Linked DNA regions of Drosophila melanogaster. The gene in region 3 interacts genetically with the main gene of each other region. Each region holds a gene or a part of one and is shown on either strand. Other genes may lie near its edges.

Region 1 (10,852 bases), on a different chromosome or scaffold from region 3:
CAAGAAAAATTGGAAAGAAATCCTTCTTTTCTGCTTGGTTGTCATAAATGGATGATTAAACAAAGTGACACTAATTTTTGGAGGTGTGAACGGATATAAAATGCGCTGATCAATAAAAGTGTTGATATGATATACAAATTTAAATTGTACACTGGGCGCGGTAATTTTTCTGTTTTTCGCAATACAAAACCGTTACAATCGTGAAAAATTTCCAAAAATAATAAATAATATTTCACAATAGAAGGTTCCAATTATCTTATATCCCGCACGATTTGAAAGCTAATTCTAACAAATAAAACATAAACCTGTTACTCTTTTAACAAAAATCTTAGATTCACCTCGAATGTAGGAGCGGTCGCAACTAAAATCTTTATGTTGACTCCAAACTTTACATATAGTTTCCGGGATCTCGCCGATCGTGCAGACGAACAACACGGACGGACATGCCAAAATTGACTGGGCCATTCCTCCTAATTATGAATAGATAGAATAGAATAGAATAGATATGAAACCTATGTTTCTGGCTGTTACATTCTTGTCAACGCGTGTAGCATACCCTTTTAGGCCGCTAGTAATGGGTATAACTATTGGGCCATGACGCAGTAGCTCGCCTGATTCTTACGGAATTTTAAAACCCAAAAATATAGCAAAATTGTATTAGATTCAGTTAGTATATTACTTCTAATTGAATTATGGGCGTCAAATATATTATTGAAAGTTGACAGTTTTTTCGAACGAAATATAAATAAATTTTTTAGTGCTAAGCTGTTTTCATTCGAAGATATAGTGAAGAGTATTAACTTTTATGAGAAGAAAAACGTGTACAGAAACGTTCATAGATTCACTTGTTTTAATAATTTAACAAATCAACAAAATTGCAATAATTTCCAAATTTTAGATTCACATTTTCTATACTTTTATGATGGAATTGTAGCAGACTAAAATCTTTGCATACTCGAAAACTTTAAAAACATTCTCGCATACACTTTAAAAAACAGACATCCAAAACAAGAACAGAAGACTCAAATTAAATTAGCAGGACGCTAAATGATCACACGGTCGCTCTAAAAGAAAACAAGAAAAATACAAAATTCACAGCTAAGAAGAAGAAAATGAAATTGTTGTTGTTAGCGAAATTCGCAAAAAGATACAATGCTGCTGTATAGACCGGGCGATACCACACAGATACATTTACAGATACAGATACTCAGATAGAGATACGCCCATGCCTCCATATTATTTAAACCCACACAAATTAAGATACAGCTAGAGATAGAGATAGATAGCGAGATAGAGCTGAAAAGGTTGGGCGACAATTTTCGCTCCAAGTTCCAGAGGCCCGCTCAGGGACGGTACTGACGATGGGGCCCCATCCATACATGCATGGTGTAGTTGTTGCTTCTATTTTTAGAACATTAGATGATAAGATTGCGTCGTGGCCGAACCACAAAACTTTTTGCGGTTTTAGCGCAAATGAATATACAAAAAGTAAAAAAAAAAACGAAGCAGAAGAACAATTGTTTGAACAGAGCACGTTTTAAACCAGGAACTACGGGCAATACATGATTTTAGACCAGGATCCTAATTGCGTTCATAGATGGCATCAACCCGCGTTATTATTTTAGATTGACTGACGTTCATTATACAAACATAGAACATAGAAATGCAATTTTTATTTCGAATTTTAACCTTCCAGTTTTCGTAGCTTTGCAATTATGTTTTCCGCCCAATTATTAGCTTAATTCTATTTCAAAACTTTCGTGTATGCCCCGAAGTACATGAAAGCTAATCGCAAGCAAATTGTTTGTTTCAGAGTTTCTGAAAACGATTCTATATTTAAGGTAAAAGTTTAGGGCTGTGTGCGAAAAGCAACCAGAAAAAGACTAAACAAACGCCTCTTAAAATATTTTTTTGTCGGTTTGGTTTTCTTTTTTTGCGGATGCGACGTCGGCCGCGAAGGAAATTATGGGAATAAATGAGAGTGAGAAAATTTGGCAAAAAAAACCGAACTGAATTGTTTATCTAACGAAATTTAGGAATATTTAAATTCGGGCCAAAAAGAATTTTAGGTATATCAGCTTAAAATAATACTTATTACTGAATATCGCTTCAAGGAATCTATTTAAATTAAATGGCTACATTATACTACAGCTAGTATCAGTATAAATCAAATAAAACACTAGTAGCATTCAAATCAAAATTCAATATTTTCCTTTAAGGTTAGTTGTACCTACATTGCGAATTATCTAGGATAAATGGGAAAAAAACAGAAAACACCTGTTCAATCTGAATGGTGGATGACGACGGCTTGGTTGGCTTTGAAGCCAGAAATAGGGAGTCGAACATGTTTATTACTTAATATTTTGCAAGCAAACACCATGGAAATGGGGGAAACATTTGTATTTCTTCGTAAATGTTGACACAGAACAGATACTCAAAAAAAATACGATTCAACGTGCAAGTTGTGGGCATTCTGCGTTTCTGCCAGTTGCCAAAAATAATATGCTGTAAGGTCTCGAGGAAGCTGTCAATTACGACCCACCCACCACCCCACTAGCGCATACACTCCTGTGCAAATAGCGAGCGCCTTCCTATAAATACACAATCTTTATTAATAGAACGCTTTCAGAGATCGAACATTTCAATTTCATTAGCAAACCGAGAATAATGTAAACAAACGAAACACCCAAAAAATGCAGTACGTTCAAGATTTGATTTTTTCTCAATTTCAATTTTTCTTTTCCACACCATAAAAATTTAGTTCGACCAGAAAACGCAAATGAAATTGTTTAGAAAAGACTCCCCGAAGGCTATGTATGTACGTAGAGGCCTGGGGGAAAACGCCTGAAGCCACATCAGCAATTTGAGCACTTCCCCACCGACTTTTAACAGAACAACGATGGGAAAAGCCAACTTGTTGCGGTTCATTGCCGGCATTTTGGTGGCCAACTTTTATCGAACTCTCTCATTCGTTAGGGGTATGGGAAAAGCAGGAAAATTGCGGGAAAATCTGAAGGGGAGCTTGGGTCCCAGCTGAGGTAACCCAAGAGTTTCGGTTTCAATGCAAGTGGCTTTCCCACTGACACCACACACGCATCGGGGTAATTATTTAAATCGGAAATAGCTCGCATTACGGATTACCAAAAAGTATTGGTTTTTGGCAAATAAATTGAAAGCAAAACTGCCGGAGATTAAGTAAACTTTTTCAGCGGTAACCAAAAAATATGATCATGTGATCATTTTAAAACAAAATGTGTAACTATTTTAGTTGTGTTTCTAGTGGTTTCGAAATTTATTTAACAACTATATACACATGTATATGTATGCATATACATATTTACTGGTCATTTCAGTTCCGCGAGATCGTTATAATCTTTCTTGACAAAGATATGAGGCTAACTTACAGGTTGACTGCTCGTTTTGTCATCAGCTTTTGCCAGAGATCGTTCTTCCCTCTCTTTTCTGCCTGCTCATCCGATGTTTTCGCTTCGGATGCCTCCCACGTTGGCGTTTGGATTTACAGTTAGATAAAGTTTTTTGTTTTTCACGATCACGGCGTTTTCCTTTCTATTCTCCTGTTTTTTGTTGGATTTTTGTGCAGTGTTTATTTTTCTAATTGGCTTGCTTTTTGGTTGTTTAACGATTGTTCACTTTGTGCTTTTTGTTATTCCGGTTGCTATTTACTCGCGTTCTCTCTTCGGATGGGAAATATTGTGGTTAATATACATTTAAATTTCGCGTTGTTTTTGTTGTGTTTGCATATGGGCAGAGAGCTAGTGGGAGAGAGTGAATAACTAACTAATGTTTGTAGCGGTAAATTTCACAACAATGCACGCTTAAAGAGCAATCAAAAAGAAGAGAGAAATGCATTGTATTGGGTTCTGGTTCTTAAAGCGCAAAGAGCGAACAAGATTACTGCGAAGAATCTGGAAGAACAATCGAATGCCGAACTGTTCAAATTCTAAGTGTTTGAGTATTATTTTCGGAATTTATAGTCAAATAAGCAAGTTAATATGACAAGGTTCGAGTGTCCAAAATTACACCGCTGTATCAGTAGAGTGGCTTATCAGGGAAACAAAACAAATCTGTTATCTTTGCACTGCTCTCCCTCTCGCTGACTGGCCCGAAAAACAATTATCACAAATTCCAGTTTTCGTTATTTTTTCGATTTTTTCCCCGTATTGTTGTAAAATTTATGGCGCTGCGGCTGCGAACACTCTTGTTAACACATTTGTCGGAATTTGTTTTTCATTCAATAATAATTATTAACACAAACCGCACTGGATTTTATTCGAAATTCTATTCGGCTTTTTACTTTTTTCACCTTTTTCGCACTCTTTGGGTTTTGTTTTTGCCCCAATCCAATCAGAGAAATATATATATTAAACATACATATGTATGCATAATATCTTTTTCTGTGAGTGCGTATGTGTGTGTGCGAGAGTGCGATGGGGCGCACGCGGCTTTGCCGATCCGAAAAAACAACTTGGGGCGCAGGAGAATAGAATAATACTGAAAGCCCCAAACGAAAATCGGGCGAGCGACACCGCATGCTCCCAGAGATGGCACTTTGGCTTTTTTCACTGTGTTAAGGTAGGCATATGAGGACGCTTTATCAAACAATTTTAGTTTCGCTCAGTGTAGGATATCCGAAAGATATCCATCAAGATATATTATCAACACTTTTTTAAAATTTTTAAAACTAGGTTTAAATGGATTAAAAGATAAATAGTCAAATTATATTGAGCAGATACATTTTGGAAAAACATAGTCCTCATTTAAAAATTGCACGATAAAAGGTATAACTAAGTACTATACTAAGAAAAGTAGCGTTGACTGCCACACACTTAGCGGTTTTTGCTATCCGCCAAAGATTTGCTCCTCTCACTTGCCATCACTGATTTCCGTGCTCTCGGAGATGATATGAGAACAGTAATTGACGCTGCCGCTGCGGATCAACATGTGTGTGCTGTAAGAGAGCGGGAGAGCGAAATCAGTTCTCTCGTTCTCCCGCTCGCACACATTCATGCAATGGGCATCTGCAGCGAATTCTATTTTTAAACTTAAATTAATATTGTTCTTTATTTTATCAGCAGCGGCGCGAAAATAAAGCAGGCAGCGTCGGCGTTCGAAGGCGGCTGCTGTGAGGGAGAGGCAACGGGAGCGGCGGCGGAGAGCAGAAAACAAATAAATAACACGAGAAAAACTAGACGCTGCTACTGCTAATCAGGCAGAGAAAAGATATCACTGTCTCCTTCTGTCTCCATCCCTTTCCCACTCTATGCCGCTCTATCGGGTGTGCGAAAAGCGAAGCTCAAATGCTGTCGCAGTGCTAGTGCTCTGTCTCGCTTCGGCTCTCTCCATCTTCTTTGCCCGCTATCACCGCTTGATAAGAAATGCGTTAATCTTTATTAAGCGCTGCCGCTGCTAGTGTGTGCGTGTGTATTGGTGTGTATTCCGCTGAGCTCGTGCGTGTGTGCGTTTGCGGAGTATTTACATGGGAGTTTTTCATTTTCTGCTGACAATTTCCGTTGGAAACTTTTCGCCAAGGAGGTGCTAACACTAGCAAAACTGGCAAAGTCCAAACGGAAAATGTAATTTATGCAGAAAGCCGGAGAAACAGAAGCACAGAGAGTATGAGAACAGTCAGAAGAAGAAATAGAAAAATCGGACCAAATCTACAACAACAGCTTGTTGGATGACTCAATATTGCAGTGAAATAAAGGCTCTTTTGTATCAAGGAAAATAGGAAATGATTAATACAGGAATATTTCCAAGTTGCAAGACAGTTGGTAAATAACAGAGTCATAATCACAGCGTTCGGTAATATATTTAGTTTAACATTAGGTTAAACTAATTTTAGTTATTTTATATTTAGTTTAACATTAGGTTAAACTAATTTATTGAATAAATAAAGTCTGTATATTTGGATTTGAAGCATATCCATATATTACCGAGAATAATAAAATTATGCTGCATCATACATACAATCGGATTTATAAAGATTTTGATAAGCTAAGGTGAAGTAGAAATATAAAAAATAGGATTTAGTAGTGAAATAGTCCTCTTAAGATACTTTTCCTGATGACCGTTGGTTGAATGTTTTCAGTTTAATTTAAATAATAGGCATTTGATATAAATAAGCTTCGTCTATATTGAAAACAATACACCTACACTTAAGGCAACCAAATTTGCAGTTAGTATTTCCAATTGGCGACCGTAAAGGTAAACAAAAATGTAAACTGTTGCAGACAGCAAATGCGGTAAATCGCAAAAATCGTAAATAAATCCTAAGATTGTGCCAAAATAAAACCGTTTTAAAGGTTATTCATAGTAGCAAGTGCAAGTTTGTCGGTCGAAAATGGCAACCCTGGCGAGACAGAGCGAACAAGTGTGAGCAAGAGCATCAGAGAGAGGGCAGAGGAGATCAGTTGTTGTGATAATGCAACGGGTGAAGAAAACAAATGCAAAAAGTTTCTGCGTGTGAGCGCGAAAGTGCGTGAGCGGCGGTCCAAACAAAAACAAAAGCGCGAAGCAAAAATGGTTTTCTTTTTGTTTCAGTTTATGTTCCTATTGTTGTTGGTTGGTAGGTTTTTTTGCTTTTCCAACGACGTGACAAGTGCAAAGAGCGCCAAATTGTACATTTTTATGCATGGGCCGCCAGTGCATTGTGAAACTTTTCCGACTTTGCCTTTATGGCTGTGCATTTGTTTTATCACTGCAGCACTTTTGCCATTGCGATCGTGTGGGTGCCGCTACTTTGTGTGTGTGCATTTGTGTCTGCGTTTTCGAAAGAGCAATTCAGAACGCAATTAACACTGACGGCGCCCATGCTGGTTATCAATTAAATCACATATTCACTTTGTACCATTTTACTAAAAACGAATAAAGAACCTCATCATGTTGCTCTTTCCAAACGGTTATTTCGAATTTACCGCTTCTCTGGCTCCGCGATTCGTCCGCGTTTCCCGTTTTCCGTCGCGACTACCTACCCGATTTTGAATATGTGATGTAGCAGTGTGGCCAGTGCGTTGTGCCAATTTACCGGAACTTTTTGTCTTCAACATTCCTTGGTATTTTTAAGTAATTCTAGCGCGGTCACACGGCTCTGGCGCTCTCTTAATTATTCTCTTGAATGTAGGTAGCGGTGACATCCACCACGCTCAGCGAGGACAACCGCATATTTTAAATTACACTTATACATGTTGAATTTATTTCCTTACTCTGCGTGTCAGAATCAGCGTTGATATTTTATGGCAGTTTTATAAAATACATCATAAACTATTAAATATATATATTTCTATACAGGCATTGTAAGTAATACAGCTGTTTCTTGATGCCAGGGAGTCAAGACCTGAACCAGTTCCTTAGGCCCGAACTACTGCTCGTCATCCCTGAAGAACAAAGTTTACTGCAATCGAAAGCAATTGTTTATTAAGCTGCAAATATACTCGTGAAAAAAATCAAAACAACCATGAACAACAAGTGTTGCAACTATTACTAACTAGTCGCTAGTTTAAAGCAAAGTGCGTTGACATTAACCAGTTATGGAAAAACAAAAGCACACGTGAACTAAGAAAACAGATAGAAGGTGGTAAAGGTGCGTTTCTTTTTCTGCTAATAATGTAGATAGTGTCTAATAGATTAATTTTCGCGGAAATCAGATCGGGAAACCAGTGGAGCCTGGGAAAATGCCCTGTTGGAGCTCCCAAAGGCCAAGTGGCGTCACTAAAAACATCGTATGATCCGGTCGAGCCCTCTGATTGGTTGAAAGCGCTTACGCATGCTTTCCCGGTCGCGTATGTGTGTGTGCAGTGCACAGTGGGCCAAAAGCGAAGTAAAAGCTTAGACCGTTTAAAAATATTCGCCTCTATTGCAATTTGCATTAGTCTAGCAAAACTTGATATAGCCAAAATGATCTCAAGATATTATATTTTGTTCCTATTTTAACTACGAGCAAACAACAAACAAACAAAAACAAGTTAACACATATGCCATTTTCAGGTCCGACTGTGATTCACTTTAGGTTTGAGTACAATTAAAAGATTTATTTTAACTTTGTTACGTATATTACAAATTTAATTATAAAAACCCCTTTTAATCTGTTATTAAAGCTGCAAGTGGCCACTGTGGAAAAAGGGTAATTAAATGAATTAATGTGATTATAAACATATTAATATTTGTTTTTTCCGGCACCAACATACTTGTCCCACTGTTGTTATTGCGCCGCATAGAACTTTAATAAACAATCCTCAAATGTACAAACATACATACATAAATATGCACATACGTGGGCCCGCCAGTATTTAATTACGAACCGTTTTTGTCCCTTTCATCAGCAGCATTCGCAATGGACACGACACTGATGAACTTAATAGACGCTCCGCTGGACGAGTCCATGGATTTGTTCAAAGCGGAGGATGTCTTCGAACCGTTCGACGCCGACCTGCACTCGGACATGCTGGACATCATCCTCAACGACATGGACCTGGCGCCGACGCAGATGTACAACATGCTGCTGGACGAGCCTCGAACGCATACCCAGCAGACGCAGTCCGTGGATCAGCAGCCGCAATCCGTCGAGCAACAGCCGCACGTGAAAAGCGAGCACTCTTCGCCAGTGCACATCAAGGAGGAACTGCATCAGCAGCAACAACAGTCGCCGCTTCTCGTCTACAAACCAGATCCCCTCATAGCCACAAGCTACAATTGTCCCCAGCAACAGCCGACGGGCCTTTTGAAGGCCGCCCAACCAACAGCCACCATACATCACATGGACGCCCAGCGGATGCCGCCGAACACGGCGGTGTATCCCCCATCTCTGGGCAGTAGCTTTGTCTACCAGTCCATGTCCCCGCCCACGTCGCCGGTGGAGTCTGCGAACCAGAATGTCAATGTCATGCAGCCCGTTGCTGCAACTCCTGCTCCCGCTTCTGCTCCTTTGCCCCAGCAGTCGTATCCGCAACCCTTCATTACGTACAACTCTAAGGCCGGAATGACTTCCGATGAAGCCATGTACTTCCTCTTGCAGCCCACGGTAGCCAGTCCAACCCCATCTCCACCTGTGGCTCCACCACCGACAAGCACAGGTAGTCGGGCCAGCAAGGTGCGAGTGGCACCACTGGCTCCGTCACCTGCCGCTATGGAAGTCCAGGGCAAGGTACCTATCAACCGGGTTCAACCCAAGGTGAAGGAAGTAAAGCGCTCGGCCCACAACGCCATCGAGCGGCGCTATCGCACCTCAATCAACGACAAGATTAACGAGTTGAAGAACTTGGTAGTGGGAGAGCAGGCCAAGCTGAACAAGTCCGCAGTGTTGCGGAAATCCATAGACAAGATTCGGGATCTGCAACGCCAGAATCACGATCTGAAGGCAGAGTTGCAGCGCCTGCAGAGGGAGCTAATGGCACGCGACGGCTCCAAGGTGAAGGATTTACTTCAGCTGGGCACTCGGCCTGGTAGAGCATCCAAGAAGCGCCGCGAGAGCTCGCAGACCTTTACCACGGATGCCGGACTGACGCCGCCACGCAGCGATGAATCGGATCCTTCGCTCTCGCCCATGCACTCGGACATCTCGTTGCCGCCATCACCCTATGGTGGATCCACCGCCAGCTGTAGCAGTGGCAGCAGCAGCAGCAATGAAGAACCACTGGTGGTGCCCAGCTCTATGCGCGGCATGGCCACCCACTCTCGCCTCGGACTCTGCATGTTTATGTTCGCCATCCTGGCCGTCAATCCCTTCAAGACCTTTCTCCAGCGCGGCCACTATGACAGTAATGACGATCTTGGCGACATGAGCGGTCAAAGACGCATTCTCTCTTACGACGTGGAAGGTAGCTAGCCTAGCATCCAGATGTTGTTAAATATTGCTAATGGGTTTCTCCTTGATTTAGGTGAAGGTTTTGCTGTCTGGCAGCAGAGTTCCTGGATATGGCTATTGAACTTCACACTGATGCTTGGATGCTTGGTGAAATTGCTGGTTTACGGTGATCCGCAGCTGGACGCGCAAACGGACGCCTACTGCCAGCACAGGCAGCGGGCTGACTTCTATTTTAGCCAAGGACAGTCGTCTCAGGCCTACGCCGGTTACCTCAACTGTCTGCATATGTTTGGATTAAGTCTACCGGCGTCGCGCTTGGAGTGTTACTTGCAGACCACGTGGCAGTTCCTTCGTTTTCTTTTCCATCGCCTCTGGCTGGGTCGGGTGCTGTCACGGCGGTCCGGTGGGCTGTTTAGCAACGCCGCCAGCAGGAAACAGGCGCTGGCATCTGCACGCGAACTGGCCCTGCTCTTCAACCGACTGAATCAATTGCAACTGACTGGAAATGGAAGCCGCGGTGACATGAACGGCATTATGATGGCACTATTCGCAAGCAACATGGCTGAAGTGGCGCACAATCTACTGACACCGCGCGAGACCATCTGCATCCACGTAATGACAGCGTTGCGAATGAAGCGCAGTGCCCCAAAATGGTTGCAACAGCTCTTCGCCCGATACTACATGAGCCGGGCTCGTCAAGAGTGCGGTCTCACTAGGGCCACCGAGCAAACGCAGGAGCTACGTTGGGCATTCACAGCCTATGGATATCGCTACTGCGCCACGCACGTCTTCACGTACGATCTGAGCGACTCCGGCGAGCAGGATGGATTCTTCACACGTCTTAGGAATCCATGTGATCCCGCTGCCCACGTCATTAAGGTAAGTTGGACTGAATTTCTAGTGTATCGCACACAATTCAAAACTAATTGTTTCTTTTCCAATAATCAGCAATATCGAGAGCATTTGCTGTTTAAAGCCATTCAGTGTCTGGTAGGAGCGGGCCACAAATCGGGAGGCCTGCCCACATCTTCT
Region 2 (10,873 bases), on a different chromosome or scaffold from region 3:
TGTGGTTGGATTAAAACACACTTCCCCACACTGTGATTCAACAAAAGTGCCCGGGCGACCGCCTACACAGAGAAAATCTTCGGACAAATTCCAAATATAAATATCTCAATTAGTTATAAAAAACAACAGTAAAATATGAAGTAACAGTTTCAAAATATTGATTGAGATATTGATATTTAATATTTAATACATTTTAATAAATCTAACAATAGTACGGCTTTGTTTTCCTCACACTTTTTGTCAGTGTAGTCATATGTGTGCTGGTCTGGCAGCTTATGAAAATATGCGTGAAGTGTTGAATTTATTTGTCTAACAAACATTTTGACTTTTCGCTTTTGTTGCTAAGATTTTAATTTGCTTGGCTTGTTCCGTTTCACTCGGGGATGGATGAATGCAGCCCGAGCAGCAGCAGCTTGTGCGCAATTATTCATGCAATATGTCTGCTAACTTCCAGCCGTCGAGGAACGGGACACCATGGCGGATGTGGAACGTCGACGAGTTGGCCTGAAGTGCAATCGGAGATTTGACGGAGGCAGCAATGTTAGGGCTCGCTTTTTGGCTTACTTGATTACCCTTTTCTTCAAGGTGAGATTGCTAATGCGACCTTAACGAAATTAATTATATCCTTCCTTCCCTTTCAGAGCCACCGGAAGTTGGCCAAAAAGCGGTCGGTTGTCCGTCGCTTGTCCTTGTCTGCGTATCATGCTTATGCCAGTGTCCTTGGTCCCTTTTGTGCGCTTAAATGAATTGTGTTTGTCGCAGGGCTTGATTACCAAAGGGCACCCCAATTCGGCGGATGTAGCAACAGGTGCCGAGAAGGACGAAAATGTCCTTAAAATATAAACATCGCCATTTCAGCTCTGTATGCGGCAGGCGATGAAATTATGCCCGTTGAGGTTTTGAACGGGCAATCAAAACCAGAGCTGGGCAGCTCTCTCGGGTGGTCTCTAGTTGACCGACATTGTGGCTCCGTTTGGCGATGGCAGGTTAACCAGGCCGTTTCGCTGACACTGCCACTTAATGCGGCATTGTTCGCATTCTCATCTGCAGATTATGAGCCACACTCGGGCGGGGGGAAATGGAAATGAAAATGAAAATGGAAATTACGCAGCACAAATTAGCCAGGAACTGTTTGGTTGGTCTTGTCGGAATCCAACATACCTGGCCACAGAAGCCACAGAATACGTGCAAACAGGTTGTGCAAACGTAATTTGATTACATGGATTATACGCTAACAAATATGTTTAATTTATGGCCTTTCGGGCGAGTCCATCAGAGTCACTCGGCCAGGCTGAGTGAGTGGTGGAAAAGCAGGCTCCATTTGTTGCCTTCTCAACGTAGCTGCCCCGATTGATTGCATAACAATAAATTATGCAACGCACCATGATGCTGCTGCTCGACGTTGATGTTATTGGCGAGTGCAGGTCCTGGACAAGGACCTGTCCGCTTGCCGTTCACTTTTAAGTTTCAAGTGCTGCTGCTGGCGAGTGCTTTTAATATTCATCTAATGCACTCAACGAGTTATACGCCAGCTGAGGGGTATTTTCAGGGATATTTGAATGAGGCATGATAAAAATGTATTTTCAGTTAAGATTCTGAAATATTTTATACATTGCTTATATAGTACATTATCTCGTTCTCTGTGGAATTTGAAGAATTAAGTAAGGTTCTTAAATCATGTTATCAAGTATATAGCATTATAATAGTTTGTAGTGACCATACAACTTGGTTTATGAATCAGTTTTCAGATAGGGTATGAATAAGTCCAAACGACAAACACTCCGCTACTAGGAGCATTTTTCTTTAAAAACTCTTGTTGGTTTCGAGACTGCTGTTGCGTTTGCATCAGGCAGCGGCTGCAATTGAATCCTGTGCCGCGATGATAGTGCTCAGACGTGTGGGAGTGTTAAGTGAGTGCTGCCACCTGCAGGTAGCAGGATGCGGAATGGAAAACGCAGGATGCAGGTGTGTTCAGCGACCAACTTAGTATGGTAATCATCGATGTGCCGTGGGCAATGCAGGAGTCGATCCAGCAGCTAGGCAATATTACGCATGCAACTCGGGGCGCACGTGACGTATGCGCAATATGGGCAGCTCCCACTGCCACGATGCTGGAGATATGCCCGAGTTGTTTATGCATTCATTTTATGCATTGACTTTGATTAAGTAGTGCGGTATGCAGAATGCCTTTCTCCATTTGCGTTTGTTGCGGCGGCAATAAATCCATTTGCTTGGCTATTTGTAATAGCATCGCGCCGCAAACGAGTTGAATATTGTCTTGAAATAGATCATTGATTGATTGGTTTTATGTCCTGACACATCTCGTCTGGTTTCCATGTGACAGTCTGTCTTCTGTCTGTCATCGAGCAGTGAACCTAACCGACGCAGTCTTCCAGGCCAGACAAGCTGGAAAATATGTCCTTTGTCCTGGAAAATACGTCCTGTGGTTTTGAAACCCCACCCCCCCCCCCCCGCCACTAATTGTGCTAATAAGACGCTGGTAATTATAATTTAATAACATCTCCGCCTTTGCCGACTAAAAACTCTAGCTCGTGTTTGCCATTAGAACTCTCTGTGTGTGCAATTAACAGCCAGGCAACCAGGACTAGAAATCAAGACGGAGGGCGCGGAGCTGGCATATAAAAATTGATTTATGCCGCCTTTAAGGGCGGAGTACAATTTAATTGTAAGTCAAACAGTTCCCCGCAAAGTTTATGCAGTTGAGATTTAATTTGATTACACGATGGGCTGGAGAGAAGGGCAAACATCTCCTGATTGCCTGAATAAGCAATGAGGAAAGGCAATTTTCTCCGAATGGGTTGAAGCCCCAGACTTTGGCCAGCGGACGGGTGAATCCTTAAACACCAGCAGGTGCTGGTGCCGCATGTGCACTTGTGTATTAATAAACAAATTACGCAATTAATAACACCCGCTGTGCGCTCAGCTGGGCGCAAAATGTAACACTTGGTGCATCCTTGTGCTCTTGGCTTAAATTAAGTGCATCAGAAGCAACAGAAGCTGCGCTCCGTGCATTTATGGCTGCGTATTGAGGCAACTTGTGCGGACATAAATGGCTGAGTGAATTGCTTCTGGAGTGCGGGAGCCCGAAAGTGGCCACTGAACCAACCAGCCAACGCCAGCATCCTCGTCAAGTGCTTGGGCCAGGCTGTTAGCATCGTTCCTACAGCTTTTTCTTTATGGCCCGCATAAAAATTCAAGGGGCGGCTGGGCAGAGCCGGCTAAACTGAACTGAACTGAACTCAACTGAAAATGTATAAAAACTTACCAGCTAGGCATTCTTTTCCGGCTCTTTCCGCCGTTGCCTTGTGCGCTCACACGGAAAAGCAGACAAAATGTATCTGTGACAGCGCAGCGCCAGGAGAAATCCAGGATAACCGAGCGAGCGAAGCGAACGAAAGACAACAAACGAATATTTATTACAGGTGTTTGCCTTTGACTGACAGAAGGCGCAATCTGACGCCGGAGCTTAGTTTCGGGCACTTCCCAGTGAGGAACTCTGAAAGCTGCGGGATACCCGGGCTTCCAGCTTTCACATAGGGCCACGTCAGCCCATTCCTTTGTTCGATTCTGCCTGCAAATTGATTTCGCATCTTTTATCTGGCCAGACGATGGAAATTTTGCAAATCCGATTTGGTTGAAGAATGAAATGCGTTGCAGACCCAACCGGAATTCCTGAAAAATCCCGAGCCAAATGCAGGATCCTGAAGGGCTAAAAATAACAACAGATTCTGCCGCAGAAATCATTGTGTTTTCTCTATCTATTCATGGTTTAAATTTTAGTCATGGAGGTAAGAAAGTGGAATCTCCGCGAGAACAGAAAAAGCAGAAAATAACGAGGTCCTGTGAATTCATCTGTTCATCTAGTTATGCAAATCCAAGTTAAACGTGCTGCAAGGCATCTGTGTTTCTCGCCAAGTGAGATTTGCAGACCGCCAGGAAATGGAAGCAGGATATAGATACAGTAGTTGTAGCAGAAAGACAGCGAAAGGATATAATTACTATGATGGCGGTCATATTGATCACGAGTCCCAAGGACTAATGAGCAGTTGGGAAAGGAAACTAGGCGGCTGTTCAGTGCTCGTGATGTGTAATTAATTTTTGGGCAACATCTGTTTATCCTAATTAGAGACGATACAAACACACACATGCCAGTGGAGGTTGGCAGGAGTTTTGGGGATGAGCCCGAGGCGTTCTCTTTTCATTTATCATTATTACTGGGCTAGACTAAACGGGGCCAAAAGGTCAGTAAGATAAAAGTTGGAATGTGAGTCGATTAAACGGTCAGAAATCAAGTGAATAATGACCGCAACAGCTCTTTCATGGCAAGTGCCCGCCACTTACTCAGCTTTCAAGATTTCAATGGAGCTTCATAATGAGTTTTGAATAGAGTATTGGTCATGGCGGGATTGTAAGCCAAATACTTGGCGAAAAATCGTAAAAAAAAAATACAAAAAATACCTCGCAGCTCTAATGGAAAATTGGGCAAATTGAAGTCGACCAACTTTGTCGTAAAATGAAATTGCTAGAAATATCAGCGGATGGTACAATCAGAATAAGGCTGAGCGGATGCCCATCAAAAAAGGGGCAAGTGTGTGTCCTTTTTTTCTAGCAGTCCAGCCATCCTTTTGACTGCTCCGAATTTACCAATTTATTATGCGTGGCTTCTTTTATTTGCCATGGCCAACTGGCTGTTTGTCTGGCCGAAAGGTTAACAAGCCAGAAAGCGTCGCAAATCAAAGGGAATTTCAAACTGGCTGCAGGCGAATGCAGATTAGGAGAATCAAGGGATTATAATTAATCAGACGTCTTGGCTCTTACAGCAAATATCGCATGCGATTTTATTTCCAAGCGACTGTTGCGCGCTGTTCAACAAATTCTGCTTTTCTACCGAGCGCTGTTTCTCTTCCTGCTGTTTCAAGTTTTAATGTTCCAATCTCCAACGTTTCCATCTTTCCATTCGTTCCGGAACGAACAATTTCGAACGCACAGTTCGCGCTGAAAATTCAGTTCGTGTTGAAAATTCTGCCGCGTCGGTCGTGCCAATTCGAACGAGCGGAGAAAACTGGCCAGAACTAACGGTTCTTGCCGACGGCACATAACGGTAGCTAACAGTGTTGCGTGGGTGTTAGTGTAAGGGTGCGCTGTGTGGGTGTGTGCCCTTGTGCGTGTGTGTGAGTTGCCGAAGCGCCGAGTGCGAGTCCGAGTGCTCGTGATCGCGAACAACAGCTGTTTTGCACCATTTTGCGAACTCAGTTCCTGTTGAGTCCTCGATCGAAGCAAAAGGATGTTAGCCATATATTGAAGTTATAATTACAGCTGATTGATAACCAAAACTAAAGCTCGAGGCAGCTACGTGCCTTTTGGCCAAAAAACCGAAATATTAAAATTCGCAATAAGCGCGACGAGCGAGTGAGTGCATTCATAATGAATTCGCGAGTGTGAGACGAGTGTGAATGTGTCTTATGTGATTTAATGGGGTTTTCTTCAGCGCCGTGCTAGTTTCGCCTAATCAAATCGCTCGCTTTCGTTCCATTTCGTAATTTCGCTCATTAGCAAACAATTTTCCTTGCTGTCGCCGAAACAAACATAGCATTGACAAAGTGCAATTTTCATAATTGTCCCGCTGTGACATTAGCATATATGCAAAAATAAATATTTCTGTTTATAGATGATGTCAGTCAGCAGATCAGAACTGCATTTCCTTCGCCTTTGTGTCTGCTCTGCTTGAGTAATGACAGCAAATAATTGGTTTGCCATAAATTGCCAGTGCAATGTTGCCGTTGCCAATCCATGCAATTAACAAATAAAACATATTTCAATCAAATTCTAGCGCAAACAAACTATTAATTTCACAAAACCCGGCCTAGTCACGCCCAATCGAAAAGATCAACAAACCACCAAGCACTGAAAACTAAACACTTAAAACTTAAGCACTGCAAAACTGAGTAGTGAATATCGAAAACCAAATGCTGAGTATGGAGATTTTAGGCAAAATGCGTGCAATTATTCAACGCATGACAACCAATTAATTGGCCAAAGAGAGCGAGAGCACACGAGACCCGGGGCAACAAGTCGATATAGCAATAGCTTTTGAAAATATATAGCTATCTGGTGAGCCGGTTAACGCCAGCAAGTGCATCGGAAAACCAGCAACAAACAAAAACTTGACCGATTTTCCAAGCGATTCGGTGACGGGCTCTCGCTAATCTCGCCCAGAAAACTCAGATCACAACCGCCATCGACATCGCGATGATTTATGCAGGTGAGTCTGCTCGAGTTTATGACACTTTTCGAAGTTCAACTAATTGTAGATATTGTAAGTTTGAATATTTAATTCAAATCTCTGAAAATCATTTATTTCAACTACAATATTTGAGGCAATACAAAATTATATTTTAAAACCATTTGGTAATAAAACTATCATTAACCTGTTCAAATATATATTCAGTCATAGACTTTTTACTATACCAGTAGCTTCTCCTATTTTATAAAATAATACTTACTTAGTAGTGGACAAAAAAACTCTATTAATAGATTAGAAGCTTTAAGGCGTTAAAATTGATTTATTATAACAGCGCAACTCATTATATTAATGCATTTCTTATGCTTGCATATGTTCATTTTGTTTGCTGATCAGGGGATCTACAAGTTGTATTCGAGATATTTGCACCCAAATAATGAATCGGTACCAGCAGAAACCCCAAAGCAATGTTTGGGCAATGAGAATGGGTATTAGTGCCAAACAGTACTGGCCATAAATCCATAGTCTCAGTTAATTACAAACCCATATCAACATCTCCGAAGGCGACGACGCAATTAGTTTGGGGGGAAAAGGCGCGCGGCATACAAATTACGAAGCAAAACGAAAAAATTCGTCAAGTGTTTTGTGCATTTTTGCGGTTTTATTTTATTTCGCTTTTTTATTTTGTTTTTATTTTTATTTTTTTTTTTGCACAGGGCTTAGCACGTGGCTGTTGACCGCCTTTGGTTACAGATTTTGTTTATTCACTTTCGGTAGCCTAATTAACTAAATTGGCTGGCTTGTTGACAATGGAAACCAAAGTGCGACCCATCTACCACTCGGCAAGAGTTCCTTCGCCCATCTTCCGAGTTTTCCCCCACCAAGTGTGAAGCTTAGCAGACACAAAGGCCAGTTGACAGGTGAAATGGGGGCAAACAATGGAAGTTGTTTTGACAGGGTCACAATGGACAGCCCGGCCCAATAACACGGACAGACTGGCCGACGGAAGGATGGGTTGCCAGCCGAACGGCTGGGAAATGTAGTAATAAATTAGGTTTTCAAATGGATCCCCATTTATTTCAACTTTAAGTGTGAAATTCCAGTCAGCCCGACTTTTATTTAATGCCACTCAGACATCCCTATATGCGGCTAAAGTCACGACTCGGAGGCATTAATTAGCCAGCTTTCCCAAACCCGTCGCTTTAACTGATAGTAAGCCTAAGTATAAGCGTTTTGAAATAAAGATACTTTAAAATACAACATTTTTATTGTTGTATGCATTTCATCGTGAGTCTCTCATTACTTTATAGAGCTACGTCCTTTTGAGCAGATAAAACGCATTAGCTCACCATCTTGTTCCATTTTACTATCAGAGTACACTTAAAACAAATTCTTGGGCCATGTTGCAGATAAATAGAAAAGTACGTTGCATTAAAGCAGTATATTTTATGTCTAAAATAAATTATTAATTAAGTAAAACGAAAATATTATTTTATAATGGAATTTCTCATAAAAGTATTATTATTAAAAGCTCCATTGATAACTAAAAAATCATTTATTCATTTGTTTCGAAAAATGGTACGCTAAAAACTCTATGGACATTCCCATTTTGACCATGGTATTGAAAGCACTTCTAAAACAGTGCCCGTGTGTCCAGCTATGGAAATCTTCACGCCTGGCCAAGCACAGGGAGCTGGAAACAGGAAGCAGTGCGAACTGGGAACTGGGAAATTTGAAGTGAGAGCTCTGCCCCAAGTGGCAGCCGAGCTGGACGTAAACATAATTCTGTGCTTTGTGCAGCGCTCTGTAAAGGCATTCAAATTGCTTCCTTGTCCAGCGGGCACAACAATGGCAAGCTACGTGCATAAGCCACCGAAACCTGAGATTCTTTGGCCAAGTCGAACACAAAAGAGCGTCAACATAGAATTGTGCAACCAGCGAAGCAAATGACTTGCCACTCGGCCCGAAATGCAGGGGAAGCCCACACGTACTTGGAAGTAAAGCAAAACAAAATAATATAAAACAAACCAAACCAGTTGAAATATATTAATGGGGCGGGCATGAGATTGTTTTAGGTGCTTGCTTCCACTTTCTGTGTGTGTGTGTGTGTTGGCATTAAACTTGGCATTAAATAACAATAACCCGGCAATAAAACGAGGCGAAATGTGCAGGAGGTACCCTTTCACTTTCAATCCTCGACTCGCACTTATTTAAGCGTGTGCTTCTTCGTGCCACTTTGCAGCTTTATTGCGAATTTCTCACCTCACTACCTGCCGCCTGGCTCACGCGTCGTATGCGTAATGGGGCACATGTAGGAACAGACGGGCGACAAGAAAACTGCGGCAAACGCACGATATTGCGTATGCGGCATGTCGACCCTGATTCTGCCAAAAATTGAGCCTTATACATGCAGAGTACGTATCTGTTTAATGTACTTAACACTCAGGGAGCACTTTTTCAATGCATCGCGCTCGAAGAGTGTTTTTTTGGCTTTTCCTAAGACGATTATTGTTGCTTAGGTGGGTAGCAATAAGAATTCCCAGGGTCAGATCTAGTAAAAGTTTTGATTGGCACGCAGTGGCCTGCAAATTAACAACTCATTGCAATGCAGCCACAAAGTGGGGGCCAAATGAAGCATGAAGGGCCAATAGCCACTGGCCGGAAATGAGTTCACTGCTCGTGGCGAGCTTAGCTCTTGAAAAATCACCTAATTCATTTAAATAAGCAAGAAGGAGTCGACGCCGAAAGCGCGCCAAGTCCATTTACGAAAAAAGGACCTTCCATCCAACTTGGCAAGCCTGAAGTCACCGACTTGGCTTTTATCTGCAGAAGTAGGATGCCTCGTCGTCGTCGTCGAGTCGACAAACTAATTTAAAAATCCACTTGCTAAGCGTTTCCCACCTCCGAGTTCCATGGTCCATCGACCGAAGAGGGCACTCTCTGGGGCCAGGGCTATTTATTTTTTCATTCCCTGCCTTTTATGCTGATTTTGCACTGCGTGGAAATAGTAGAGCAAACATTTTAGCCCTCGAGTGTTTAAATATAAAACGGAAATGAGCTTTACTCCAGGTCCTTGGGCTCTTCTAGTTGCCATTTTCTTTTTTGTTCTCCTTTTCGACCGAAACGTGCCAAATGAACTAAAAAGCGAGAGTCTATGGGTTTATTTTAAAAAGCTAATTAATGACTGCAACTTTCTTTGCCAGACACTTTTGAATTAATTGCACACCTCCACGACTCTGAATGGGCCCAATTCCATTCGAGAATCATGCAAAGTGCCAGACACGAGCCATGTTTGGGATTCCAACGCCCAGCAACTCTCGAACCATATCGTAGATAAAGTCGCATTCGCGATTGCATCGCAATCGAATGCAATCGAATGCAAAATAAAACTCATTTTTATATTCTGCGTTCTGTGCTGACAAAGCAATTTATGGATTTGATTTCAATTGTTTTGTCATGTTGATTGGCAGTCCGAATTGGCAACAACTCATAGTTTGGCAGACAGCAATATATATTTGTTCGATGTCAAATGGCAGATGAAATAGTCTCTCATCCGATTGAACACCGCTCGATTTCTCAGCTCTGAGCTCTGAGCTCTGACCCCGCCAAGTTGAATCGAACTGAATGCTATTGAAAACCGATTTGATTTCCTGGGTGTGTGTGGTGGCTGTGTAATTAATCTAATTTGCAGCTTGCCTTTGGGGCAGCATTTTGTGTGCTTTTGTGTGTGCAATTACGTGCGTGTTGACAAAAGTCGAGCGTTCATGCCACCACTCAATGAATTCCTGCAGCTGTTCATGCATTCAGCTCACTGGCATTCATTAGTTAATTGATCATGCGTGGCGAAATGTGGATAGATTCGGGCCTTAGATCCATTCGCACACAGTTTCCAGCCCTTTTTTACTGCAACAGGGCCGTTCTTTTATGACAGCATAAAACAGAAACACAAATTATTTCGCTCATAAAAAACGCAAAGCTGCGCGAAACTAAAATACAAATGTGCAGAACCGACCGACGAACATAATGCGACATAGACAGCCAGGCTTGAAAGGAAAGTTGCATGCACACACATGTATGTACATATGTGTGTGGAAGGTCCTGGTGGCGGACTAGGACGATTCCAGCGAGAGTGTGTGCAAACAGAGAACCAAAGTGCCCAAAGCATTTTCACAGTAAATTTTGTATGTAAAGGCAAGACAAGACAACGGCTGACATGCTAGTTGGGGAATGGGTATGGGATTGTAGAATGTAGATGGGTTTGTGGATGAGGATTGGGTCTGCACATGGAAAGTGGGAAAAGCAGGGTTTGGCTTAGTCTAAATTTTTATATTTCGTTGTGCATGGCACATAAAACCTTTTGTTAGACGAGCTTTCATGGGTGTGGGTGGGTTTGTGTACATTTAGGACGGCAATGAGCAGGAACGCCATTAACTACTCAAACAAAAACGTGCTACTGAAATCTTTTAAATATTTTCTCGAAACAATAACCCAGAAGAAACTAAAATTGGATTGTAAATGCTTTATATTATTTTTCAATTCTCGTTCACTTTGAAAATACTTCTTAAATGTATTTGGGATGATAGCGCATTCTTCAGCGATATTTTTCAAATT
Region 3 (10,480 bases):
ATTTAAAATTCCCATGACGCACAAGAATCGTATAAAGCTGTTAGTCACTGACTTAATACGGGATCAGGGATTTCCTACACTCAAATCATTGCATTTAACTTTCTAAGTAGCCGGGCAGGTCTCATTAACGCATTTTACAGGTGTCAAGCAGCATTTGTCAGTGGGTCGCACTCATTCACTGACAAATTACCTTACAAAAATGTTAATTTATTCGAGAGAAACGTCACGGCGTCGTGTCGACGATTCGAGCGGAAATATCTGTTATTGTAATTGATAATATCATTAATGTGGAGCTCAATTTATTAAAATTCCACCCTGTTTTTTTTCCCCGGCTTTTGAAACAGCACTGAATCAGCAGCTTTGACTTGACTTAATGTGCTTGATCGTCGACAGTTAATTAATAGCGGCAAATTTAATCTGTTCCAAGTTGGATCTGACTCGATTCACTCCCTCGTTGTTCCTGCGTCCGATTATCGCGTATGGAGTTGGCATTTAAAAATTATTCGATCCGATCTGGCTACGGCTATATACATACGGATACATATACTATATGACTGTTACCGCTCGATGCACTCAACTGGCGCTTCAAGAATTGTCATAAGCCTATTAAGAGGCCGTTTTTTTTTTTTTGTTTTCGTCAGAGACTTGGGGGTGCCCTTTCCTTTACTTCTTGAGTGTGTCATAAAAGTAATGCCACCGATCGGGGTGGGTATAAATTTCGAGCTGGCGACTGGCTCTCCTACCAGGAAGCCGTAAAACAATCAACGAAAATGCTCAGAATGACTTCCATCAGCTGCAACTGCGTTAATTGCATTCCGAAAATGAGGAATTTGGTGGGTCTGACAATGGATCAATTAAAAATGAGTAATAAAGCGTATAAATGCACTGTGTGAATTGCCTTAAATGGCTACATAAATAAGGATTGTGCATTATTTGCAGGGATTCTGGGGAAGATACAGTCTCCGATTCTCACTGCACATATTCCATATCTGGAAAAGCCTTCGTTAATCATACAATTTTCAACATATTCCAACTTGACTTGGGCGATGCGATTTATCAAGCAGAATTACACTCAACATGGGTTTTTTGCTGAAGAAATCTGCTAAAGGGTTATCAAGTAATTATCGAGTCGAGAAGAAATTATTTAAAGGCATAGTATAAAAATATAATAAATTGTATGTTTTGTCAGTTGCCAGTCGTCGGAAATATTCGAAAAATTTAAAGAGTTCTTTCACGCATTCAAAATGAATCATGGAAATGTTTCGATCACTTTCATTTCCTATGAAGAACAGGAAACACCTGTTCTTGTCACTGACCAAAATTTCATTGTGCTTTCCTTCGCTGAACTCATTGGAAAACTACCCTTGAGTGGCAGAAAGACCTCGGCCGCAAATAGCAATTACAAATACAAACACGAAAGTGGAAAGTCCCCAAAGTCTGCGGATGACAACCCTTCCTTCCATAGTTGCACCAATTAGAATTTTGCGAAACTCCAAAGAAAATAGCAACAGTTTGCTCACTCGTCATTCCCTTCCTTTTGTCCCTGCCCCAGTGGCAGTGGCAGTGGCAGCGGCAACTTGCACATACATCTTGGCAGGCCCTCCTTTCCCTCAGACAGATATATCCACATTTATGTACATATATGTATATGTATGTACGCTACTGCATGGCGACATGCAAATGTGTGTGGTTGTGCGCCAGCAGATAAGTTAACTTCACTTCACTTTCTATATGTGTATGTATGTACATTTTCCGGACTACTTCCGTTGGGGCATGCAACCGCGGAGCAGCGCCGTGCCGTGACCCTGCCACCCGCCGCCCACCGTCCTTTCTGCTATCTAAGGGCTTACAACTCGCCACCCTAAGAACAAGTCGACTGAAAGCACTTGGAAAAATCGGGTCCTTCAGTATCTCGTTATATTGTTCCTTAAGTCCTTATAAGCAGCAAGACTTTTATTAATATCAAATATAAACATTTTAAAATAATTATTTAGATGTCAGATGAATTTACTCATAAACGGAATTGATATTCTTTGACATGTGATGTTAAGCTCTAAACAAGGTATTTGTGATCCCGCTAGCTACATTATCCCTGAACTGAATTATCATAATTAGTTATTTTGCTTAATTACTGCTTTAGCCAATTGGGTTTGATATTGTTTTACACCTGGGATAATCAATAATCAACAACCATATTGACCTGCATTTTCTCTCCGTGTACGGCATCTTGCACTTCGTCTTGGCTCCATTTCCATCATTTATTTGATTACACGCCACTCATAAGCGTGAATGCGTGAGTGTATGCGAGCCATCCGGAGAGTGTGTGTGTGTGTACGGGTGTACGAGTACGTTTATTGAACCGACTTCATGGCATCGCCTAGCTGGCGACACTCAGGCGAACTCAACCCAGTAAAGATTCAACTCAACTCAACTTAACTCGCCGACTTGTCCGCTCGTTCGGTTCTTTTCTTTTTAGTTCCTCTCATATCGCAGCTATATATAGTGCTCCATATATGCATATGCATATACCTATCTCTATATGGCATATGTTCGCTCATCCAACGGGCAGCTGGGAAGCGGTATCCTTACTAAATAAACAATATGCAAGTCGTTCAAGACCTCGACCCAAGTACTGTTTCAGGGATACTCTCTCAATCTTATTCATTACTCTAGGAGTATTCAAACTATAGGTAATATAATATTTATATTATATTATTTAAAAATTTAGTAGAATCCAAGGATCCCACTAGAAATTCTAAAATAATATTCGACATATATTTTCAGCATGAACATTTATTGCAGCATGCGATTTTAGAGCTCTGTTGTTTATACATTCATGAGAAAATCCATACAATCTTCGGTGCCTACCATCTGTGGTACAGAGCTTATGTGCGTCCTACTTAGTTCCAGTTCTTATATTTTCCGCAAACGCTTCAGAACTTTAATTACGGCTTTCGAACTTTAATAAACGCCAAGATTTGGCCCAGCCACACGAGGAGAATCGCATCAATGGCTGGCTGTACATTAATAGTTCATCCTGGCCGGCACGCATGTCTGGAGCTGGTGAGTCAGTGGCGCGGGTTCAATGTCCTGGCGCGCCTTAAAGAATGCCACCGCGACTCCTTGGCACACGAGCAACAAAAACAAAAGGCGAGCATAATGGGTAAATTGCTCATATTTTGTTATTCTGATTAAAAAAAATGCGCCCGCTCTCATTAACTGCAGAAATTCGCGAGGAAATGTCCTAGTGGCCAGGGCTCCACATGGGCAGCGGCGATGTAGTAAGGGTTGTGGGTGGAGGGGGCTGGGGGTAAAGATGGAGGCAGACCCACAAATGCATTAAGAGCCATAGGACGCATGCCCCCAAACAATAAGCGTGCATTGTGCACTACGAACTGCAGTGGCCATACCCGAGACTACTGGGGGCCCTCATCTCGTGGCGTCTGTATGCACACACATGTACAGTGCGTTTCGAACGAGTAAGGCGGACTTCGTTCGTTCAGTGAAGTGAGTTGCATACTGGTGTATTCTTCCGCGTAATAAAAATCAGAAGTTAATGAGAAACTTGGAATCTCTTTTTTTCCATGTATTATAAGTCATCATCCTTTACCATTTCGCTTATATCACGGTTTCCAGAAATGCCAATCAAGTTGTTTTTGAAGTTACTTAACACAGGTTGATACTGGACCTTTGTTTAAACATTTTACGGAAACAGATTAATCTACTAAGCACACAACATGCAAATATTTAAAAGTAAATTATACCTTCCTAACTTACAGTTAGATATATAACTACGTCTCGTGCTGTCTATGCATATGTAGAGCATTTTGGGATTTTGAGGTCATAGGCTCGAGCAGCCACAGCAGCATCTGCATCGTGGAGTGAGGGGGAGGGGGGGATATGTGTGCTGGGGGCCTTCAGATCCGTCTATCTCGATTGTACTTAACCCGCCTCTCGATTTACTGTCTGCTACCAAATGCGGAGATACGGATTGAGTATCTGAGCCGCCGGAATGAAAATGCGCCTACTGTAGGCTAATTTTGTTTTCCTTTGTCCCCTTTCTAATTTACCTTCTTGCTCTTTAACTTCCTATTTACATTGTTTAATTATTTATGTCACATTCAATAATTGCTTTTACAATTTTTATTGCAAACATTGTGCGATTTCCAACAGCTCTAGGGATTCAAATGTCAATTATTGATGAATTTTTATTGAAATGGCAATTGGGTCAAACAGTGCTTAAGCATTTACCATCAGATATATGTAGGATGATTGATTGCATTGCGTTTTATTTTGGGGAATTATTTTCATTTCAGTCGATGCACTTTGTATAAACACCCAAATTTACTAACTTGATCGATACGATATATCATCTTATAGAGCTTAAAAAAGCTGGGTTCGGAAAAATCGAAGTTTTCAAATTTGGAGCCTTACCATTATATCCTCGGAGATAGCGGTTTTTGCCTTCTTGGACCTGGTCGCAGCGGTGGAGTGAGATCCTTCGGGTGGGAGGGACAGCTCCTGGATGCACATGGATTGCGCAAAGAGTGCGAGCAGGGTGGCGAGAACATATTTGGAAAACATTTCGCCGCTCTCTTTCGCTCGCGCAACGAAAACACTTGGACACGAAACTATTCCTCGATCAGTAGGAACAAAACTGTGTATTTATCTTTATTCTATGTTCGAGGCTTAATTAACCGATGTGGTGGACTAACAATTCGTAGTGCTAAGCTGGGAATTGAACTTTTCACTTTTGTTTTAGTTTCGCTGCTGTTGTTGTTTTTGCTATTGTTGTCGCCTCGGCCGCGGGGGTTGACACAGACACACATGCGCATTGGCGGCACTCACACGAATACCCGGCAGCATAAATACAGCTGCAGCAGCAACAAAAACAACGGAAGGAGCGATGGGTTGTGGCGGGGAGCGGTGGGGATTGGGCGGGGGTATTCCCGTTTTTCCGTTTGGCGCTTCTTGTTCTGGCGTTTTGTGCTTGCCGCTTTGTTGTGGCCACTGCTTCTTTCCTTGGCTTTCCTTTCTCTCTGTGCCTTCCGCCCTTTTGCGCTCTTTTACATATGACGCATACGAATGGTGGGAAAACAAGGAGCTGGGGGCGTTGAGTTGGGTTGGGCTGGATAGAATTTAAATTTGGTGTGTATAGAATGCACACTATAGAATGCCACTTGGCCACAAAAACACAATTAATTAGCACGCAGTGGCTGCACAAAGGAAAGACTTTCCTTGTTCATCCGTTTTTTAGTATATGCCCGATACCAACACCGATTCCCGATTCGCGTTACCCGATTCCTGTCAACCGTTACGTCGCTTTGTTCACCCCACAAAAGAAAACGCTAGAAGTGGGCGGTGCTCTTTTATTCGCGTGTTTTGTGCAAGCATAAATCTCAATTTCTCCTTTTTACATTTATTTGTTTCTGTCGAATTCGAAATAAAAAATCTCGTTATACCGCCGAAAGCGGGTTTACCGCGCGGATGTCTAAATGTGACTGAACTGCTGACTTGCCTCGACGTGAAGCGACTTGAAGAGGCGGGCACAAAGAGCACAAAAATACAGAGTAGCTTCTCTTCATTTGGGCGGATATGCCAGCGATCGCGGTTGATTTATGAAAATACGTAAGAGTAGAAGAAACTCGCTCTTGTCTCACGCTCTTAAGGGGGCACAGAAAGAAAAAGCACGAATTCCAAGAGGCTCTAAAGGATTTTAAAAAATTATTTTAAATTAGGCAGCAAAAAACATTTTTTTTTTCGTAATAATCTTTTTAAATTCTGAGCCTATAACTTTGTTCATCCGTATTTGTATAGTTTTTTATTTAGAGATCTGAAATCCAATGTATTTAAAATTTCCTTTTTACATATGAAAGAATTATATTAAAACTGAAAGTACAAACACCGTGGTCAAAGACATTTATGTATTTTCCACTTTGTTATTATATTTGACTCATAAAAAAGTAATTTAATTAATTTAATTTAATTTAAACTTAAATCGGTAGCAGTATATAAATTATTGCTACATTCATTATAATTTTATACCATATACTCTTATGATTTGATTTTTGGTATTTTATTGTAAAACAATAATAAACAAAATTTTTTTTAAATAGTATAATAGCTTCAAATATTTCAAATTATGTTGGTCTGTGTGACTTTGGGTAGGTTCTTTTCTTAAGTGTATATTAATATTTCTCTCTGCTCTTCGATATTAATATTTTTTGGCTACTTTATACTCTTCGATTTTGGCTACCTAAAAAGTGTCAGTCTAACACGTTTCCGCCAAGTTGGGACATTTGCCTATTGCACAATAAACACAAGGCAGATGGCGTTAAATATTGATTGATCGAGTAGTTCCATGAAAAAGGAAACTAAAATCTAAAAAATAATGAATCGATATGAGTTAGCTACATTTGATTTCTAATATTTATGAATAAGTATGAATACACCCACACCCTCGAAAATAAAAAACCCAGATCAAAAAAAAAAAAGCCCATATATTCTTGGGTACTTGTTATCATATACTGCAGAGTATTATTCACCAAGCCGGTTATATTTTTGAATGAATCAAAATACGAATGTTAGCCGCTGCCGGTTACTCAACGTAGTATTCGAAAGGATGATTATCTTTTTCCATTCACAATCTTTTGGAAATCCCAAATAGTCATTGATAATGCTCTTGCATAAGCAGCCTTGATATATCCAATATCAATGTCCACTTAAACTCAATTTACTGTCACTTAATCATAGCCAATCTAGAACCGCAGTAGATCTAGTCCCTTGATGAGTCGAAATGCTATAAAATCTATAAATGATTGTTTTGAAAATGTATATGTTCTGCGATAAATGCAAGTTTATCATAAATATATAACCCCCACGGGGTAAGAGATAGTAAAATCATATTTTGGTATTATCACATTCAAATGTATTTCATTTCGAAACATGATCGTTTAGTGGCGTGCACCACTGTATGTACACACAGATATCCGAAACAACTTGCCGGCAATTTCTGAACTTAGACTGAGGTCTTGGGTTCAAGTGCTAATTGGCCACGAAATTGAATGCAAAACCGATTTTTGATCTGCGGCTGACCCAAATAAAGTACAAATGACAAAATTACTGATGATACATGGTCGGGCCATCGAAAGGTGAGTAATTTTCGAAGTTGCGACATCAATATATATAAAATCGTCTTATCAGTTCGATGTTGTTACACCTATTACTCAATGGTAGTTTTGATAGAAAAGGCAGACCCATGGTCAGGAGCGAGAAAGCAGTTATCGGAAGCTTCCAGCGGAAGGAAACACAAGATAGTGCGGCTCGGTGTGAGCGTTCCGAGAGGTTAGTAACTCTTCAATGATTCACTGCATCATTGCACTATCTTTCTTGTTTACTGGCTTTCGCTACAACTGCTGATAGCCGTATCTTTATCGTTAGCTTAAGTACTTCCATACCCCTTGAGCTGGTCGGGAGTATCGAAACAGTCGCCGATTTAAGATCAGCGGGTGCAAGTTCGTGACATATTCATTATGGACTTCGTACGACTACGAATATGGGTATGGGTATGGGTATCTTCGCTGTGTGGGTGGTGGCATGAACGTCTGGCCGATATGGCGACACTTATTTATTTACAAGCGTGCCTACAAATGAATGGAGTTCCTGTAACTACACTGGAAACTTAATGTTATACTTCAAATCAAATCAATAAATGAAAATGTTACCTGTATAATTGAAAAATGTAATTGCTTATTTCAAGGCTGGCCAAAATGCAGTTGTTAACTGTATGCTTTTTAAGAACTTACCTTAACACTCTATATACAACCGTTGTTTTCAATGTATCCAGGAGTGAGTGGCGTATGCCATTGAACAATGACTCAATTTGAGGTGTATCGGCTCGGCTGCTCTAATATGGAAGTGCGCCACTGGTCGGACATGCGATTTACATACTACCATTTCTCAAACGTGCGAAATCGAACACGCTCCTCCGCAGGCAGGAAATCAAAGCAATTACTAATTGTGTTTTACACAGCCCCAAACTTTCTCAGAGTGACGCACACCGGAATGCGACTTATGGCCAAGTGGGCAGGAAATGCCAGCCCATTTGACCTTCCCCCATCCCCATCCGCAGGCAGATGTAAATGTGTCCGAGTAATTAATTAAAATATGCATCCAGTGCATGCGATTCTCCGCTTTCCCTGGACACGTGCATTGCTCTCGTCTCGCCTTGATGTGTCCATCTGGGAGTGATTTCCATTTAGCAGGTCCATTAATCACTTTTGGAGTTTGGCTCATTATCGCTCTGAAAGTGTCACACGGCCAAGCGGATATTTATTGAATGCATTCAGTCAATGGCAAGAGAAAACAAGCAATTAATATAGAAACAAGTGCATATTAAAATTCCGTATCCGATTTGAATAAAAATATGCCAAGCTGTCAACCGGAAAGCCAAAAAATGGCATACTTTGCGCATTTGCCAACAGGTTGTATTGGGCATCAAACAAAAGATTTTCATTTTAGGACGCCGCTGCTCGCAGTCTTTATGCCCTATCCCAAATTTAACAAATTTTGGGAATTTAACAACGAGCTTTTAGCTTGATGAGCAGTCGAGATAAGAGCGAAATTCGGTGTACAATTTACGAGTATTGTTCTGAAACTCTTCTTTTTTTACACCTGAAAGCGGTCATGGATGAGTGGTTCACAAAAAAAAAAAAAAAAAAAACAAAAAAAAGACGACAGAAGAGCTCCCCAGTGACACTCTTTTTCCCGTGAGTCAACAGCCTCTGGTTTTTTTTGGCGCTAGGCAGATGTTCGTACCAAAAGCTGACGCACTCTATACGTAAGAGCGGGGAGATTTAAATCTATGGGCTCATCCCCGCGAATCACGCAAAATACGCAGTCGCAACAAAGAAAGCATTTTAATGGGCACATATGTACGTAATGCACATATGAATGTACGATCGAAAAATGTACATGTAAGTCTTTACATTTCAGTGATTCAGAAGTCCAGCTTAACAAAACCAATAGAACGAAATGAATAATATGGAATAATATTTGGATTACTCTTTTCATAAAACAAAATTGTCTGTTCATTTTTGAGAAACTAATCTTAAAAAACATAAAAATGTACTGTAATGTGGTGTTAGAACAGGAATATTCATATTCTAAATCTCTTGTGGTACTCCTGTAATGTATCTCTAATTTTCCCAGCTCTATTTGAAAACTTAGTCACCTACTTTCACCTCAAATTTAGATAGGTATTAATCTTAATTCTGACCCAGCATTTCCACTTTGCCTTGTAAATAGTTTGTTCACTCATCTTTTTAAAGTAAGCTCTAAGTAATAAGACGATCTTATATGTAAATCTTAAATACTTAGATGCTAACAATCAGAGCCCTAAGGAGTCGAACTACAAACCCAAAACTTTGATTACCCTGCCCAGAACACACTTATTCGACGGATACAAAGCTGATCGGCGCAGCCACTTTCCTCGCCTCGCTTTGTTTTCATTAACTGCATAATTCAAGCAAGTTTGCCAAAAAGCCGCAAAAGGCCAAGAGTGAGATGCGAAACTGCATAACTTTGGCCATACTTCAGTTGCATTGCGTGTAATATTTAATTATAAGAGGACGCCGCCACTCCGCCCAACGCTTTCCATGAGCGGTGCAACTTTACGGCACTTGCCAATTGCACTTTGGTGGCAGCAGCCTCCTTGGGTGCGGGGCGGGGGTGGTATAAACGTCTTGAGAGGGCATAAAATATTTAATTGTGTCACGTAACTTTCTGAAACTGACTGGCGTACGGATAGATGGCATCCCCTATATACTTCACTGGCAGAGCAGTATGCATTACAATTTTAATTTCCGAAGTGGCGGGGGAAATGAGATTACCAGACGTCAAGTGCTGAACGAAATTATCTGAGTCGTCTAGCAGGTCGATTACCATATGAAATATACAGCTTTATTCATTTGCTTTACTCCTTTTAATACAATGACGTAATTAGTTTATGCTTCCATATAAAAAAAATATATGAGTGAAGAGAAATTTTCCGCCTGGCTCATTCAGTTTTCAATTTCCAATTAATCAATGCGATTAAAATCCGCCTTCGGTTTTTCGTAATTCGTTACCTTTACAACTATGCTGAGCAGAGAGTTTCATCAGATGCATTTTAAGTGTTGCTTTTAGTCGAGTCTTTGTATTTCGTATGATGCGTATTATTTTGCCATTCCTTAGAGGATTCACACACATTTTATATAATTTCTAGATCTGGGCTGCTCTCGTAATGGTGTTGTGAAAATTAAAATGCAAACAGCTAGACAGTAACTCCTTCGTTGGAGCTGCGCGATTCCAAAACGCGTCGCCGACAACAAAACGGGATCGTAAAATAATTTAATGGTTAAATTAGGAATATAGACGGGCTTAGGGCAGCGTGTAACGGACGTAGGGCACCTCCACATCCTCGCCATCCACATCGTTGCAG

What was found.
Region 1: of Mmp2 (region 3) and Gyc76C, changing one suppresses a phenotype caused by changing the other (phenotypic suppression), as found in Drosophila melanogaster (one study listed by BioGRID).
Region 2: of Mmp2 (region 3) and Oamb, changing one suppresses a phenotype caused by changing the other (phenotypic suppression), as found in Drosophila melanogaster (one study listed by BioGRID).

Annotation. Positions count from the first base shown.
Region 1 is NT_037436.4:19,786,560-19,797,411, forward strand, and holds the start of Gyc76C (guanylyl cyclase at 76C), read right to left. Parts: upstream 7,011-10,852; 5' UTR 6,869-7,010; intron 5,052-6,868; exon of another isoform or gene 4,889-5,051; intron 4,483-4,888; exon of another isoform or gene 4,325-4,482; intron 3,696-4,324; 5' UTR 3,405-3,695; intron 1-3,404. Other genes in the region: SREBP (sterol regulatory element binding protein), read left to right, coding at 8,351-9,833, 9,894-10,699, 10,769-10,852. UniProt on the Drosophila melanogaster protein: Guanylate cyclase involved in the production of the second messenger cGMP.
Region 2 is NT_033777.3:20,708,729-20,719,601, reverse strand, and holds the start of Oamb (octopamine receptor in mushroom bodies), read left to right. Parts: upstream 1-5,024; 5' UTR 5,025-5,122; intron 5,123-5,851; 5' UTR 5,852-6,283; intron 6,284-10,873. UniProt on the Drosophila melanogaster protein: Receptor for octopamine (OA) which is a neurotransmitter, neurohormone and neuromodulator in invertebrates. Stimulates intracellular accumulation of cAMP and Ca(2+) following ligand binding. Required for ovulation.
Region 3 is NT_033778.4:9,678,349-9,688,828, forward strand, and holds the start of Mmp2 (matrix metalloproteinase 2), read right to left. Parts: upstream 5,511-10,480; 5' UTR 4,585-5,510; coding exon 4,435-4,584; intron 1-4,434. Other genes in the region: Uba1 (ubiquitin activating enzyme 1), read right to left, coding at 10,420-10,480. UniProt on the Drosophila melanogaster protein: Has metalloproteinase activity. Proteolytically cleaves the PGRP-LC receptor; involved in gut-fat body innate immunological communication (GFIC)-mediated activation of the imd/Relish signal transduction pathway.